2 linked regions of the Coturnix japonica genome follow. The protein of the gene in region 1 purifies or fractionates together with the protein of each later gene. This does not show direct contact. Links are inferred from orthologs where the notes say so. Each region holds a gene or a part of one and is shown in the gene's direction. Other genes may lie near its edges.

Evidence for each region. Proteins that work in one complex are often made in the same cells at the same time.
Region 2: the proteins of HNRNPA2B1 (region 1) and HNRNPH3 fractionate together in Homo sapiens (co-fractionation; 3 studies listed by BioGRID and IntAct, with this or other methods). This does not show direct contact. The link is inferred for Coturnix japonica from reciprocal best matches to the Homo sapiens genes HNRNPA2B1 and HNRNPH3.

The regions. Positions count from the first base shown.
Region 1 is NC_029517.1:29,444,521-29,448,579, reverse strand, and holds part of HNRNPA2B1 (heterogeneous nuclear ribonucleoproteins A2/B1), read left to right. Parts: intron 1-510; coding exon 511-573; intron 574-963; coding exon 964-1,083; intron 1,084-1,320; coding exon 1,321-1,443; intron 1,444-1,997; coding exon 1,998-2,059; 3' UTR 2,060-2,080; intron 2,081-2,233; exon of another isoform or gene 2,234-3,164; intron 3,165-3,408; exon of another isoform or gene 3,409-3,799; intron 3,800-4,059. UniProt on the Homo sapiens protein: Heterogeneous nuclear ribonucleoprotein (hnRNP) that associates with nascent pre-mRNAs, packaging them into hnRNP particles.
Region 2 is NC_029521.1:8,606,043-8,610,842, forward strand, and holds the start of HNRNPH3 (heterogeneous nuclear ribonucleoprotein H3), read left to right. Parts: upstream 1-1,531; 5' UTR 1,532-1,646; intron 1,647-1,878; exon of another isoform or gene 1,879-2,076; intron 2,077-2,239; exon of another isoform or gene 2,240-2,369; intron 2,370-2,912; 5' UTR 2,913-2,930; coding exon 2,931-3,048; intron 3,049-3,550; coding exon 3,551-3,689; intron 3,690-4,218; coding exon 4,219-4,406; intron 4,407-4,770; coding exon 4,771-4,800. Other genes in the region: PBLD (phenazine biosynthesis-like domain-containing protein), read right to left, coding at 1,209-1,292.

The DNA.
Region 1 (4,059 bases):
CAGGTTCTGCGTAATAGTAAATTACTACTATTGAATTGAAATGCATCTGTAAGAGCTAAAGAATTTTTGGGAAAGATAACTTGCGAACCTTTTGCATAGTACACAAATCAATGAGGTAGCAGTTCAGAAAACTTAAGTGGTTTAATATTTAAAAGATTCTGTTACGAGCTGAAATTGATTTTGGTGAGAAATTCACCTACTGCTTCTCTGTAGTTAGGTGCAGAGCTCAGGAGCTCTGCAGTGAGGGGTTTCTTTCTTGAACATCTGAATTACATACAAGCAAACCGGGTTAGCTACATTCAAAACTAACCCAGTACTTTACAAATGCAGGAAAGTAGGTGGTGTAAAGGAATCATAGATCAATGTTTTTTTTTCATGTACATTCTATCCAAATTCAAGTTTGTGTACTTTATCAGTCTGTGAGATTTGCATCTTAAGGTCGTATGGTTTAGATAAAAATTAGTTTGCTTCAGGTGAATTGAAATGCATGTATGTTTTTTCCTCCAACAGATGGGTATGGGAGTGGCCGTGGGTTTGGTGATGGGTATAATGGATACGGCGGAGGGCCTGGAGGTAAGTTTGCTTCTGTTTATATTTTTACTTTTCTTCCTCTCACTTAGAACTGTTTATACGTTCATTTACTGTTCGTGTAAAGCTTTCAAAGTGCTATAGGTATTTCATTGGCTTTAAGAAACATTTAAAACTATTGGCTCACATTATAGCTGATGTGGGAAATTGTATGATTATGTCTTGAAAAGCCATAGCCCTCTTTAGAATCGATGCTTTTAGGCAGTCTGGGTAGTGGGTTTTGGTCACAGTTCAGTTGGATGGGAGTTGGATGTGTATCTTCTGAAAACTACTCTTTCCCTTCCCTTGTAGACTTTTCTAGCGAGAAATATCCTGTGTAGAACTTGGTTACCTTCTACACTGGAGAGTTTATTTTAAAGGATTATATTGTCATAGGTGGCAACTTCGGTGGCAGCCCTGGTTATGGAGGAGGAAGAGGAGGATATGGTGGAGGAGGACCTGGATATGGCAACCAGGGTGGGGGCTATGGAGGTGGCTATGACAACTATGGAGGAGGTAACTTACTGGCTTGAAGTGATCAAGATTCAGTTGTAAATTCGTACAAATCATGAAATTTGGGAGGGGTGTGCTGGAGTGAGCAAATCTTATAAATCTTATAAATGGAATGAAAAAGCAGCTGATTTCATCTGTTGCTGGACTACATGTATGATTTTGTTTTTTTAATTGTACAAATAGAATTCAGTGAACACTGTAGCTCATCCAGGTGTGTCTATTCTTGTATTGATAATTCAGGCAATTATGGAAGTGGAAATTACAATGACTTTGGAAACTACAACCAGCAGCCTTCCAATTATGGTCCAATGAAGAGTGGAAATTTTGGTGGCAGCAGGAACATGGGGGGACCATATGGTGGAGGTATGTCTAGATATCCTTTGGAGTGAGACTGGGCAAGCTTCAGTCCTTTAGGGAGGTGGGAGGGTGAGAGACAGGTAAAAACTGCTAGCTTCTATGTTAAAAACCCATGTTTGTTCTGTGTAGTATATGAGTTACAACTTGTAACAAACACTAAACTTACTGGGATTTCTCCTATTGCTTTCTTGTTCTAATGTCACCTTTTCCTGTCATTTTCTGCTTTTGAAATGTAATTTAATATGGTGTATGAAACTTGTGGAATGGAAACCAAAACAAGAAAGCCTTTCTTGTAAGGTTCAGCTTGCAGATAAATAAGCCTTGCAGTGAGGCTCAAAGTTATATCAAATTACATGTGGCCCTTCTTGAGTCTTCTGAGACTTCAGTGTGTAGTTGTGGCACTTCCTAGGCATTAGTAAGAGAACTTAGTGAAGTGTTAAAAGCTGGATGCGCCATCTCTGGAAGTGAACGGGATGTTAATTTTGATAGAGTAGTCAGAAATATTCTGAGGTTGAAGGGCAGAGACTTAAGTGCTGTTTCTCGCTTTGTTGTAATTGTAGGAAACTATGGTCCCGGTGGCAGTGGAGGAAGTGGTGGATATGGAGGGAGAAGCCGTTACTGAGCTTCTGCAAGCTTGCCATGGGTAAGTATGTTTTTTAAGTGCTAAAATTGCAGTGATTCGTGAGAGTAGCTGCAGGAGTTAAAAGTTTTTTTAGGATGTTATCTTTCCTATAAAAAATGGTTAGCTGAATAATTTCATAACCTATTTTTTTACTCTTTACTTCTGTTGAAACAGGCTTCACTGTATAAATAGGAGAGGATGAGAGCCCAGAGGTAACAGAACAGCTTCAGGTTATGGAAATAACAATGTTAAGGAAACACTTATCTCAGTCATGCATAAATATGCAGTGGTATGGCAGAAGACACCAGAGCAGATGCAGAGAGCCATTTTGTGAATGGATTTGGATTATTTAATAACATTACCTTACTGTGGAGGAAGGATTGTAAAAATGCCTTTGAGACAGTTTCTTAGCTTTTTAATTGTTGTTTCTTTTTAGTGGTCTTTGTAAGTGTAGAAGCATTCCTTTGATAATGTTAAATTTGTAAGTTTCAGGTGACATGTGAAACCTTTTTTAAGATTTTTCTCAAAGTTTTGAAAAGCTATTAGCCAGGATCATGGTGTAATAAGACATAACGTTTTCCTTTTAAAAATTTAAGTGCGTGTGTAGAGTTAAGAAGCTGTTGTACATTTATGATTTAATAAAATAATTCTAAAGGAAATATTGTGTAATTTTAGATTTTTTTTTTAACGTTGTAAAATAAGGAAAGGAGTGGGTAGTATAAGGTCCCACAAATAATACAAAGCTATTGTTGTACGTGTAAAATTAAATGCTGGTCAGAAAAAAAAAAGTATGTTGTCTTTAAATGATCAGGTTTAAAGTATCTAGATAACTTAAGGGGTATCTCTGCAAGGAGAAACACCTTTTTAGATCTTTTAGATGCTGCTTCTTCAATGGCAAGGAAAGGAAATATCCCCAGCGAGGTACTCTTCCAGGGACACAGGTCTAGTACAAGAGAACTCTTGAAAACGTCACTAAGTTCAGCCAGTCTTAAAAAGCTGCGCTGTATCTCTGCAAAGCTTTAACTACAATAGTTGTATAAGGATGCCAACGAAGGCTGAGGGAGTAGAGCAAACTTAGTTCTAAGCTTCAGTTAAACTTCTTTAGGTAAGATCTTATTTACTTTTTTCCTTTCTTAATGTTCTGAAACTGAGAAACTAATACTATGTGACAGTATTCTTTCAGTTATGTAGTAATTGTTGTTATGTAGTTTAACATAGCAATGAATTGTGTTAACAATTATCAACTGAAGAGAAATATGTGAAACCTGTTTTCTTGTATTAAATTTTCTACATACAAATTTTTTGTTAATTTCAGCTACTTAACATATTTTTTTCCTACTGGAATCTAGCTATGATATGAATCCTGGACAAGCATAGACTGCTGCCACTGTACTCTGCTACAGTTGAACAAATGAGACCTGCAAGTGTCCATTAGTAAAGCTTTGCAAGGGTTCCATCCCTGGTGTTGGTAGTTAAAATGGTAGGTCACATGTTAATTAAATCATACAACTTTATTTATGCATCCTGCAACATTTTATTTTTTCTTGGGAGACTATGCGTTACGGTGGTTGCAAGGTAATGCAATGAAGGTAGCGCTGTGCTGTTGAAAATGAACTGTGTTGTTATGTGTCTTGTCTGCTGTAATCTATAACGCGTTTCATCCTGAAGGTTCCCAAGTAACTTTAGACTGTTTACGTGTAAGGAAAAAAAAAAAATTGCACCACAGAATACATCTGCCTCTGTGAAGGAATGTGTCGTCCATTCTTGTAACTGCATAAGCAGTTCTTTAGGAGGAGAAGTGAAAGCTTCGAATGAAACTGCAGGTGGTATTTTATGAGTGTACGATGCCATGACCTAAATTGGAATTTGGCTAGAACGATGAGGTTTCCACCATTTTTTATAGTTCTTGCAGCTAATAAACCTTAGTGCCAAATTCAGTCAGCCTTACTCTCATTGCATTGAATGTTTGATCCTCAAATTAACGAAAATTTGCCAAGTAA
Region 2 (4,800 bases), on another chromosome or scaffold:
ACAAATGGAAATGTACTAAGTGGACCCGGTCAAATTCAACCTGGGACAGAGTGAACTTTGCCCTGCTAGCTTGACTTTTTTCCCTTAATAACCTTAATCCTTTGAACCAACGATCCAGCGCTATTGATACAGAACAGTTAGCGACAGGCATAGCAGACCAATCCTGCTGAAATCCATACAATGAGACAACATTCTGACCTTTTACAGTCTGTCCTTTACACCAGAAAAGCATTGCTACAAAAATACCAAACCAGAACAAAGCCCAGCCAACATTTTGCTGAAAAGAATAGAATTTTATTGAAATACTGCCATCATGTGGCACTACTGAAGCTCGGGAAGGGTTTGCATCACCATTTCTGCTGTACTGCAGTTGTTATAAAGCAGCTGGTGAGGCTTGGAAAGGAACAGAGGACAGAAGCAGTGCTCACTGCTCCATATGTTCTTGGAGCTGAGAATAAAATTAATTAGAACTTCAGCTTTGGTGACCCTGAAGCCTGTAGAGGAAATGTTAAAGCCTCAACATGCCGTAGGCAACACAGAAATCACCTTCTGAACGTATTAACATGGTCAGGTAAAACTAACATAGAATCACAATTAGAAGTCTACAAGTTTAAAGTGCATTCAGAGAGAGTGTTCAGATTGTAGATAGCCAAAAGCAGCTCTGAAGTGAGATGTTCTGCGCCAGCTTTGCTGCCTTTGTAAGCGTGCTATATGGTATGAGATCTGCTGGGGATCAGGAAGAGCTGGGCAGGATTCAGAGGGTCAGTGTGACTGACAGACCGCTCCATTTACATTCCCATTCTGAAAGTTTTCATCAAGCAATACCACACAAATAAGACCAGGCACGCACGTTTCTAACCTGGTCTAATAACAGGTTCTGGGGGGTAGTGAATGAATTAGCACCAACTTCTCAGAGCACCTTCACATGAGTGACTGCATTTGAATGCACCGCACCGTGCAACCTGCGGTAAGAGCTGCCTGTCACAGGACGCACAGTGACTCAGACACAGGACTGACGTGTCTCCCTTCTCTTCCACAGGAAACAAACAGAAAAACCCCACCTCATTCGAAAGGCAAACGATAAGGAGAACCCGTTATAACTGCCCGTGCCTGGAGGCAGCAGCCCGAGGCAACCTCGCTCCGCAGAGCTCGGCTCAAGCACGGCGAACACCTGGTTAAAGTCCTGTTCGTTTCTTTTTCACACTTACATTGTCGAGCAGACAAACTGCCGCGGGGTTTCCACAGAACGGCCGCTTTGTAAAGGCGTCAACCGTGAAAACCGGGACCTGCATCGCCGCGGCGCTCCCCGGCCTTTGCCCTGTGCTCCCTATGGCGCCCTGCCTCAGTACAGCCCCACTTATGCTCCCACAGCGGCAGGAGGAGCCCGCTCGTCACTTCCGAGCACGCGGGGCTCCATCCTCCTGCCGAGGCCCCGGAGCCGGTACCGGGTACAGCTCCATCCTCCGACCCAGCTCCTCGGCGCCACAACGGGCCATTCCGCAGGCGGGAGCTGCTGAGACTCTGCAGGTCGATGTTAAACTTGCAGCTGGACAACGGAGGGGAAGCGAGCAGCACAGCTTTCCCATCTCCCTTCCTGAGCCGGGAGCTGAACGGAGCAGCGCCCGACGGGACACCGAGCGCTGCGGGTGTGTGAGGAGAAAGAATGGCGGCTGTGTGAGGAGAAGGAATGGCGGCTGTGTGAGGATGGTGTCTGTGTGAGGAGGATGGTGTCTGTGTGGTGAATGGCGGCGCTGCAGCTTTGGCGCCAACAGCCGCAGCGCGCGAACACAGCGCGCGCCCGAAGCGCTGCTGCCCCGCCCACGTGACAAGAGGGAGGAGGCGCCGCCCGCTCTCCGCGCACGCGCCGCCGTCCCTTGTTGGCAGAGCTGCGCATGCTCCGCCGCCGTCCGGTCGGGCCGAGCCGTGTGTCGCCGCTATCGCGATAGCCGCGGGTCGGGGCGCCATCCTGCGCGGCGGTTGTGTTGGCTGCTGCCCGCTGGCCGCCTGCGAGCGAGCGGCTTCCCTCGGGCAGCGGCTCCCGCCGGGACGCGTGTAGGGCCGTACGAAGGTCTCCTGGTAAGCGGGGGGGGAGGGTGTTAATAAAGGCAGGGCACGGCTGTGCCGTCGCGGGCTGCCCGCTGCTGGGCGCCGAGGCAGCTCGGGGCAGCGCGGCCTTGAGCGCGGTGCGGGCCGTGGGGGGGCGGCATGGCGGGGGAGGGGCGGGGCGGCTGGAGGAGCCTCGTTATGAGCGGCCGCCATTTTGAGTGCGGAGCACAGCGCGGCTGTACCGCCGGCGGGATCAGCGGCGTGCCGAGCCCCCACACCGGGGCTGGGCCGGACGGAGCTCGGCTGTTCGAAGCACAGAGGAGGTGCTGCTGCTGCTGTGCTGCTGCTGCTGGCGGTGGTGGTGGGGCGCGTGGTGGGGCTGGTGTCGGGATTGGGGCCCGGCTCGGGGCGGCGGTAAATGGCGGCGGAGCGGGAGGGAGCTCCCCTCCCCCCTCCGAGCGCTGGTGACGGTGCGGCGCCGTGTGTGTGTGTGTGTCCGCGTTGGCTGCGGGTTAACGGCCGGGATCTCTGAAGGAGCCGAGCAGCCGCAGCCAGGACGGGCCGGGATGGCAGACAAAGGACGGGCGGTGCGTGCCGGGCGGCCCTTGTGCCGGCACCGCCATGGACAAAAGGGACGGGCCGGGTGCGCGCTGCGCCCACGTGCCATAGACAGCAGCGAGTGGGGCTGAAACCTCGCCAGGGAACTCAATAGCCACAACGGCACCGCTTCGCTAATTAAAAACTGCCTCATGCGTTGCGTATTTGTTTGTTCTTTTTTTTTTTTTATTTAAAGGAAGGGGGGATTTGAGCGTGTGCGGAATCGTGGGATCTCAACATTTCCTTCTTTTTTTTTTTCCTTTTGGAAGCGTTTGATTTAGGCAAAAATGGACTGGAGCGGAAAGCACAACGGGCCCACCGATACGACCAACGATGGGACGGTGGTGCGGCTCCGCGGGCTGCCCTTCGGCTGTAGCAAGGAGGAGATCGTTCAGTTTTTCCAAGGTATCTCTAGTAGAGTCAAAGCATAAAGACCGTAAAAGATAAGTCGATGCTTTGCGAGCCTGTAACTGGTGATGCCCATTAGCGGGGTGGAGGGGGGATGGTTTTAACGCGAATCGCCTTAAGTGAGGTGTATGCCCTGTTCAAATGACTGTAGACGTAGTAAAGTTGAATACATGTCTTAATTTAGTCGAGGTGGTGAATGCATTATGACTATAATCTGTACGTTAGCCATTGGAGCGGTTAAATTGCTTGATCGGTAGCTTTGTTTTCTTCGTGTAACCTAGGTGGGTGTATGTGCACATAGTTAAAGCAAAACAAGTATGGCTAAATCCATAAATGTGTAATGAAAGATCGTGGGCTTGTATTGTTGGGTGATGGGGGAACTGAAGAGTTTTTTTTTTCGTTGTTATTGTTTAGATGCTTTAAGTATTTTCTACAGATGGGAATGTTTCAGCCTTTAACACTGTTCCCCTTGATGGGGTTATTTGTCCTTGGGTTAAAGGGTTGGAAATCGTGCCAAATGGGATAACATTGACGCTGGACTACCAGGGGAGAAGCACAGGGGAGGCCTTCGTGCAGTTTGCTTCAAAGGAGATAGCAGAAAATGCTCTGGGGAAACACAAGGAAAGAATAGGGCACAGGTGGGGATGGAGAGTTTGGGATGGTGTTAAATGGTTATTTTTGGGGGTTGTGGGACAGTAATGCTTTTGGGGGGCTGGGGACTATTATATGGAATGGGGTATTTTAAAAGAATTGTTATAACTGATCCTAAATTGGGAAATATGGTAGATGTGGGGGGTGGGGGAGACAGTATTACTCTGTGTAGATTGCTAAACTTAGAATGTTGTTGCAGTCGTTTTTCGTGTAGGGGAATTTGTGCTAAGTGCTGCCATAGCCAGACATTGTTTTTCAACAGTATGTTTCTCATACTGGAAAGACATGTTTTTATATTTTAATTTCTGGAACTAGAATTTTCACGTTGTAACTTCTGCCATTGTAAAGTTTTACTTTGATACACTTAAAGATTCTTAACGGTTTTGAGGAGGAACTTAAGTTCTGTGGTATCTGTAGTCATTTTCATCACATCGTACGTTTAGTTATTTTTTTCTACTGTTCACACAGCTTATACGTGCATTCTTATTTCTACCTTGAAACTCCTCTCTTGTTTAGATACATTGAAATCTTCAAAAGTAGTAAGAGCGAAATCAGAGGATTCTCTGACATGCCGAGAAGGATGATGGGACAGCAGCGACCTGGACCCTATGATAGACCATTAGGAGGAAGAGGGGGTTATTATGGAGCTGGGCGTGGAAGTATGTATGACAGAATGCGTCGAGGAGGTGGTGGATATGACGGTGGTATGTTTATCTAATGATAGAGGTTCTGTTGTCAGTTTCATGTTTCTGACGTCTTTGTCAAGAAATAAAGAAATGGCAGTAGCTTCCTGTTAGGTTTGACATGCTTCTCAAAAGGAATTTTTGTACTTGTATGGGGGAAAAAGAAATGCAGCTTATTAGTATTTAAGTGTAATGGATGTTATTAGGAAACTGTGTTTACAGCAGAATTGGACATCTCTGTTGGAAATGTCAGTTGAGAAATGTGTGTTTAACGCTTTGCTGGGGCACTTCTGGTGCCCAAAGACTGAAAAATTGACTCTTGTGCATCACTTTGTGGTCTCTCAGTAGTAATGGCATCGCTCTTGTTTTTCTGTCAATTACATAGGATATGGTGGCTTTGATGATTATGGTGGCT